Linked DNA regions of Drosophila melanogaster. The protein of the gene in region 2 interacts with the protein of the main gene of each other region in a pairwise test. Each region holds a gene or a part of one and is shown on either strand. Other genes may lie near its edges.

Region 1 (3,120 bases), on a different chromosome or scaffold from region 2:
GACAGTTGGAAACTCAGGCCTAGCCACTCGAATGGAAAGCTCGACCGCTCTTTAAACAAAAGTGTGTGAAATGGGTAGCAGTAGCAGGCTATTAAATAAATAAAACTTGGCCAGAAAGTTATTATTTGGCCGATACAAAACGTATCTATTCCATTGGCAGACTATTAAACCCAACATAACGCTGGAGGAATTTGCTGCTAGTAGAGCAGAATATATATGTATTTTTTGAAAATGCAATAAAATCGGCACAACATTTTTGAGAAATTGCCTCAAAAGCGAAATACATTTTATATTCAAAACAAAGTGGGTTGCAATTTCGGCCATTGGCATATGGGCAAAGTTCAGTCGCAGATAAAAGCGGCTAAATAATTTGGTTTCAGTTCGATGGCCACGAAAATTGAATGTTATTTCGATTTATGTTCCGTTTTGCGCACAATTCAATGGACTTTCGGTGAGTTTTCTACCAAAATCACGGCTGATGGATTGGATTTTAATTCCGGTGCAGCTGTCCGCGAACATACAAATATTTGCAAATCCCGCCCAAATTGTCGCATTGCGTTTGCTTATTTTTCATGTAATTCTATTTTGCGGTTTGCTTAACTGAATGCCAGCTCACGTTTATTATTTTACCATAATTGGTTTTAGCTGCCAAAAGCCGAAAATATAATTATCGCTTGGTAAGATGACCGACCGCCCAGTAACAAAAAGTTAACGGCAGAAACTTTTAAATGCTCAAAATCTTTATAAACTTTATTTATTGCGGCCAACTCGTTGGGAGTTAAGCTCCAGTTTAGAAGTTAAACAGTTAGTTATATAGTTGGCCCGCTTATTTGTTGCTGCAGCACTGGTCCTTGGGCCCATTCTTGCAAACGCACTGGCAATCCTTGTTGCAGGCGCAGTTGTCCCCGCACTTTTGGGCCGAGCACTGGCAGTCTGTCGAGGAATCGAGAACGATTGTCAATTATACAGCTTGCTGCTGCGTTGTACCACTTACTTGTTCCACAACCCTTGCAAACCATCTTGTATGTATCTATTTCTCGACTTTCACTTGGCTGAGGCGAACTGATATTCACTTGTTTGCTTGTTGCTTGGCTATTCAACTGATGACCCAGTCCGGCAACTCCCCCACTTTTATACCCACTTCGATTGCCTCGAACTCGAACGAGTGCAAAATTGCACAAATCCAAAACAAATTTGTTTGTTTGACCCAACTTATCACGTCGTGTGCAAGTCTGGGGCGAGTGGTTCGCAATTTATCAGACGATAGGCCAGGCAATTCTTTTTGCGCACGCGATTGCTCGCCAACTCGGTGCACACGAACTCCTCATCAGCTTATCAGCTGCCCACGTTGCGTATACGTTGCGTATACGCCGCGTATCGTGACTCAGCCCACAGCCCAGAAGCACACAATAAAAAGCATGAAAAGCGCAGGCAGCTACCCAGCGGGGTTTTTCACAATAAATAAAAGACTTTCCTGTAGTAAAACAAATTTAAATGCTCATATTGGCTGCAAAAACGCTTTACGACTAAACTCTTTTCAAAAAAAACCCAGCGTAAATGCCATAAAAATATCACATGTGGAAAGCTAACTAAAAATTAATAGAGGAAAAAACGCGCTGCAAATTAGGCAAAAACTATAAGCTCTGCGGGAGCTACGAAAACAGTTCGTTGCACGGAAAACCAAACACCCGGAACAACTTTATATATATTTATGACTTTTAGTAAAAAAAAAGTTTTCGAGAACAAATATAGAAATAGGCCTGACTTAGTTGTTTTTTTTTTTGCTAGGTGTACCTGCAACAAAAGAACGACTTAGATAAGTTTCCTGCAGTCTCTAACTCGGCTAGTTTTTTTACCTTTACTTTTTTACCATTTTATTTACCTTACCTTAAAAAAAAAATATCTTTAACGAGTATAATGAATATATAATTGATTCTTGTGCTTGTGTTGACCACAAGGTTTATATTTAACATCACATAAACATATATAACTTGACCAGCCAGCACCGTTCAGTTAGAGTATGACTTCAGTTCCTTACCACAAATTGCATGAATATCCTCTCGTCCCCAAAGTGTCCTTCGATTTTTCTCCGTGTAGTCCTGGGAACATTCCTGTAGAACTCAATATTTTAGAAAGTCAAGTGGCAGGTGTTCCGTTACCCCAAATTAAATTAAGTAATTATGAGGTCAGCGAAGGGTGTCTCATGCGAATTTAATGGGACACTTTTGATGGGAGCTATATAAACCTAAGACTTATTCTGTCAGCCGATCAAACAGCTGAATCATGCTGTTCCGCAAACGTAAGCCAAAAAGTGACGATGAAGTCATCACCTTCGACGAACTTACCCGGTTTCCGATGACTTTCTACAAGACCATCGGCGAGGATCTGTACTCCGATAGGGATCCGAATGTGATAAGGCGTTACCTGCTACGTTTTTATCTGGTACTCGGTTTTCTCAACTTCAATGCCTATGTGGTGGGCGAAATCGCGTACTTTATAGTCCATATAATGTCGACGACTACTCTTTTGGAGGCCACTGCAGTGGCACCGTGCATTGGCTTCAGCTTCATGGCCGACTTTAAGCAGTTCGGTCTCACAGTGAATAGAAAGCGATTGGTCAGATTGCTGGATGATCTCAAGGAGATATTTCCTTTAGATTTAGAAGCGCAGCGGAAGTATAACGTATCGTTTTACCGGAAACACATGAACAGGGTCATGACCCTATTCACCATCCTCTGCATGACCTACACCTCGTCATTTAGCTTTTATCCAGCCATCAAGTCGACCATAAAGTATTACCTTATGGGATCGGAAATCTTTGAGCGCAACTACGGATTTCACATTTTGTTTCCCTACGACGCAGAAACGGATCTGACGGTCTACTGGTTTTCCTACTGGGGATTGGCTCATTGTGCCTATGTGGCCGGAGTTTCCTACGTCTGCGTGGATCTCCTGCTGATCGCGACCATAACCCAGCTGACCATGCACTTCAACTTTATAGCGAATGATTTGGAGGCCTACGAAGGAGGTGATCATACGGATGAAGAAAATATCAAATACCTGCACAACTTGGTCGTCTATCATGCCAGGGCGCTGGAGTAAGTTTGACGGTTATATATT
Region 2 (4,830 bases):
TGACTTTGAGAAAGGGTTCTGTTTCCAGTAGGTTCCACGGGCAGTAAATAAACTGCCTCGCAGCTGCTGGGCCACATGTACATATGTAGATAGCCAGATAAAATGTACAAATGTATGTATGTATATAACCCGGAGGAACTGGTTCTGGTGAAAGAGATTCGATCCGATACGCCGAAGACACCTCGTTGGATGCGACGCGAACTACACGTAATAGTTGAAACGCTGCGATCACAAAAGGGGGTTCAAATCAGGCAGATCGTATATATTTATATACATATATATCTGGGTATACCGGTAGAGTCAAGACCCGTTTAATATGCGAGACATCCACGTCGACTAGAGGACTCTCGCTTGCGCTTAACATTGAAATGGATGGGTGGTGATGGTGGCAAAACGGGAATTGTGCACTCGGTTACTGTGTCACCAATCCAACAGCTGTTGTCTGCACTGCAATAAAATGCCACATCAAAGTAACAAAGTTACAGAATATGTGGAACAACTAATAGGTAACTACAAGTACATGTTAACAGATTATTAACCGGGTTTAATTAGACATCACATGTAGATTTGTATACTGTGCACAAGTCACTCGTCATTTCTTTCAGCGAAGCATTCCTGGCATTCTGATTCAGTCTATTTGCAATTTCGCAATTGCCAGTCGCAGACGGTGATAAGTCGCCCGCTGCTATTTCTTTCCATTTTTTTTTCTTTTGTGGAAATGTTTCCCCGGATGATAAGACCAGAGGTTTGAGGCGAAAGTCCGCCCGCCACCCCCTGATAAAGACCCACGTGCTCCGTACAATCGTTTATTGTGGTGAATTACAAAAAAAAAAAAGCACACAAAATATACGTAAAAAATAATCACTTTCCGCTTAGCGTCTGCAGGTGTTTATCATCTTATTTTTGGGTGGCGCTGTTGCAGGGAAAGATGCCTCACAGTTTCTTCTTCTTCTACGCTCTAGGGTTAATGTGTAGGATATATAATGTAGTATATGTATTGGTTTTAGTTGAACGGGGGGTTTGCGATTCGAATCCACTCCCACTCGCCAGGAGCGGCCCCGTTCAGCGAACAGATAGCCTCTTTAGGAGGTGGTCTCGAAGTACTCCTTGGACTTGGTGGGATCGGCCACCATGGTCTTCTGGCCGGGCTTCCAGTTGGCGGGGCAGACCTCGCCGTACTTGTCGGTGTACTGGAAGGCCTGGACGAGACGCAGGGTCTCCTCCACACTGCGACCTACGGGCAGATCGTTGACGGTGATCTGGCGCAAGTTCTGCTTGTCATCGATGATGAACAGGCCGCGGAAGGGGATGCCAGTCTCCTCATCGAGCACTCCATAGTCGCGGGCCACCTTCATCGACTTGTCAGCCAGCAGTGGAATGTCCATGCTGCCCAGACCACCCTGCTTCCTTGGCGTGTTGATCCAGGCCAAGTGGGTGAACTGGCTGTCCGTGGAGCAACCGATCACCTCGCAATTGATCTTGCGGAACTCGGCGGCGCTCTCCGAGAACGCAATGATCTCGGTGGGGCACACGAAGGTGAAGTCCAGCGGGTAGAAGAAAAGCACCAGGTATTTGCCCTTGTAGTCGCTCAACTTGATGTCCTTGAAAACACCGTTGACGACGGCGGTGCCGGCGAATGCGGGAGCGGGCTTCTGTAGCTGGGGCATCTGTTCAATGAATGGATGGCGAATTAGAGACATGTTTCTTCAAACTAGCGAATAATTAACAACAAAGTGCTCTGAACTTAGTCGCCTTCTTTTGAGAACTTCAATTGTAAATCCCTCATATGGTCCCCTTGAAATCTCGCTGTGACTGATACTTCCTCTTTCGACCGATACGCATCTTATCTTATCTATCAAGATTTTTTGGGCCCCACAAAAAACAAAAATTTCATCACTCTAACCTCGGATTATTACAAGATAACCGTTGTTTAAAAAAATTGCATTTATAGAGGCTAGTGAAATCATGGAAATTAATATGAATAGATACTGTTAAAGTATTATGATGGGAAATCAATATTATGCTAGGCCCTTAGAATGAAAATTGGAAATATTTACGAAATTCTTGAAATTTCTCATATGCAATATACCTATTTTGTAGTAAACTTACTATTTTATAACCTTTAATCTTGCCTATGTAACTTCCAATTGGTTTTCAATTGTAAAGTAGTTAACTTGATGCTAATTCCATACTAAAAGTCTCTATAAATCGGAGTTCTAATGGCGGCAATTACTAACGATTAAGGGCAATTACCCTTGACTTCCAGATATTTCGCCACAAACTGGAAAGATCAAAGAGGAGAGTAGAAAAGCTGAACTCTACAAAATGGCCGCCGAGCGAAGCGAAATGGAAGAAACCCGGAATAATAAATTAGCCAAATTTTTCGACTGCTCCCATTTATGCGATTGAATTTATTGAACTGTCGGCACGTTCGCGTATTTCATGTAATGGATGCGAATTAATTACAAATCACAAACTTATTTCTGAATTGGCAAATATTTTCCTCTAGTTTTGATTTCATTTTTGTGCCCTTTTTTTCGCCGGCTCTTCGCGTGTACGTGTGTGTGTAAGTGTGTGCGACGGACGTGCCAATAAAGTGGAAAAAAAAGAACGAAATGTGAAGAAAAAAACTATGCTCTCGGTGCAAAAAGTTGTGAAATAATCTCGAATCTGCCGACCGAACATGAACATCATTATCTTTTGCTCATCGAAAAAGAACAACAACAGCAACAACAGCGATGCTAATTTCTAATCTTACGCTCCGCAATTTCTCGCCGACTTTGCCCAGAATGAGCGACCTGTTCATCGCCCAAGGAACACTCACTTTAAACAGTTATATTTTTTCTCTTAGTAATTCTCGGTAATTGCTTGACTTCCGCGTGGGCTTCCTCTTGTTCGTTCTCTCGCAGCTTCAGCTTTCGCACAAACAAACCTTTCGGCACGAGTTGAAATTCGCGAATGGATTGAAATTAAGCGAATGCTGGTCGACCAGGGCTGCCGCAACACGGATACCGCTTGCGATAGGCAGCGCCGATTAACGCTGCTCATCGATATTTTTTAGCAAGTGCTTAAAGCGCCATCTATCAACTATTGGCGTGCTTTTCAAAAGTGGATTCTACATTTTAAATGGTAAGTTTTAATATTCAAGTTTTAAGATAGTAGCGCTTAATAACTTTTGATAGACTTGGAAACAAGTACTACTACTAATAATAAATAATGTGTAATAATATGTACTGAGCAGTACTTTTAGTATAATTCGGGCACACCAGCTTAACGGTCACACTGGTCGTCATTTTGCCGCCAAAATGAAAAAACCGCGCTTTTTTTTAATTCTTCCATTATAAATAATGTAGTTAAAGAACTGATTCCTGTTTATAATAACCATTTCTATTCCACTTTGGCGCAAATAATATTTTCTATGTATTATGCTATTCTGTGGTCCACAAATCTCCACAAATAAATTGAAACAAGTACTTTCGTTTTTTCGTTTTGTTTTAACTGAATTTAATAGTGCACAATTAGTAGTATTTAGTAGGTAGTCGCATAACCATTATATTAAAAACTTAGTCTAAGCTCTTGTTGCGTGTTGGGTGTGTTCATTTCTTAGTTACTTTTCGTATCGTTACGATCGACAGTTGCAACTGCCTTGTGGGTATTATCTCCAGCCATTCGGGTATCTCTAGGATTCGCCAAACGTGAATTTTTTTGTTTTTTTTTTTGTTTTGGATAAATAAATTACACTACAGCAGCAGCAGCAGCACATATAGGCCAGGCTATATATCTTCTATATATGTATATGTACGCGTATATCGTATATATTAAAAAATATGTGTATGCATATTGTGATTTCAGTCTTTGATTTTAAACTTAAGGGGTTAAATGTACGCAAACTGTTAGAAAAAAACAAAAAAAAAATGTATAACTAAGCCTAGGAATTGGGGATTAATCGATTCGGAAATTGGAAATGTCTTTGTCTCCGGGGCCCAGCCCCAAACCTCCGTGTGGAAATGTATGGATTTCCCATTAGGGTTTGCTCTCTTCACCCGTCTGCTCCGCTTGATCTCCTCCAGAACCAGAAACGGGTGACTGAATGGCCTCCGCCTGCGCTTGCGCATGCGCCTCCGCCTCCATGGATGCCTGCAGCTCCACAAAGATATCAATGAGATTGTTGATACCGATGAGATAGCCATCTTCGTGGTTGCCCACCTTCCAGGCGGAGTAGTGATCGATCCGCAGCTGCGGCGGCAGCTCCACCGTCTTGGCGAAATCAATTAGCCATATGCTGGCGTGGGTCTGATCGTGGACGAAGAGCAGGGAGCTGCCGATAACCTCGTGGGTCTGGAAGAATTCCGAGACCGCAAGGGTGGCCCTTATGGCTCGCAAACGCTGTATGTAGCGGGGCTGTATGCAAAAAAAAAAAAAGAAAAGAAAATAAAATAAAAAGAAAAGAAAAAGTAATGACAAGCGCAGGGAATCCCCAAGTTAATGGCATTCAACTGGGCATGCTTGGCTAATTTGAATACCCACCAAAATATGTGGGTGACCGCTGAGGAACTCGAGAAAGGCCAACTTGATTTGTTCGCGTGACTTCGTCGTTTTGAAATCTTTGGAACTGGTGCCATCGCTCTTCTTGATGCCCTGCGAATGATGTTTAGACGATTAAATTAATGGCTTTCCATTAACTTTTCTGAATGAATAATTAATGTTTACATTTGACTTTAAGGATAAATGTGTAGCCTGGCACTTTGCACACGCTTCTCATTCACATAGTCGTATGTTAATTTAGTGGTTTCGTTTTTTTGGGTTGGCTATTCAAGTTTAAATGGAATA

Evidence for each region.
Region 1: the proteins of Prx2 (region 2) and MtnB interact in a two-hybrid assay, tested with the Drosophila melanogaster proteins (one study listed by BioGRID).

Annotation. Positions count from the first base shown.
Region 1 is NT_033777.3:20,502,512-20,505,631, forward strand, and holds MtnB (metallothionein B), read right to left. Parts: upstream 1,108-3,120; 5' UTR 1,020-1,107; coding exon 995-1,019; intron 934-994; coding exon 827-933; 3' UTR 591-826; downstream 1-590. Other genes in the region: Or92a (odorant receptor 92a), read left to right, coding at 2,284-3,098. UniProt on the Drosophila melanogaster protein: This protein binds cations of several transition elements. Thought to be involved in metal ion homeostasis.
Region 2 is NC_004354.4:13,327,959-13,332,788, reverse strand, and holds Prx2 (peroxiredoxin 2), read right to left. Parts: upstream 2,966-4,830; 5' UTR 2,825-2,965; exon of another isoform or gene 2,759-2,824; intron 2,391-2,758; exon of another isoform or gene 2,110-2,390; intron 1,771-2,109; exon of another isoform or gene 1,668-1,770; coding exon 1,083-1,667; 3' UTR 795-1,082; downstream 1-794. Other genes in the region: IP3K2 (inositol 1,4,5-triphosphate kinase 2), read right to left, coding at 4,024-4,401, 4,528-4,638. UniProt on the Drosophila melanogaster protein: Thiol-specific peroxidase that catalyzes the reduction of hydrogen peroxide and organic hydroperoxides to water and alcohols, respectively.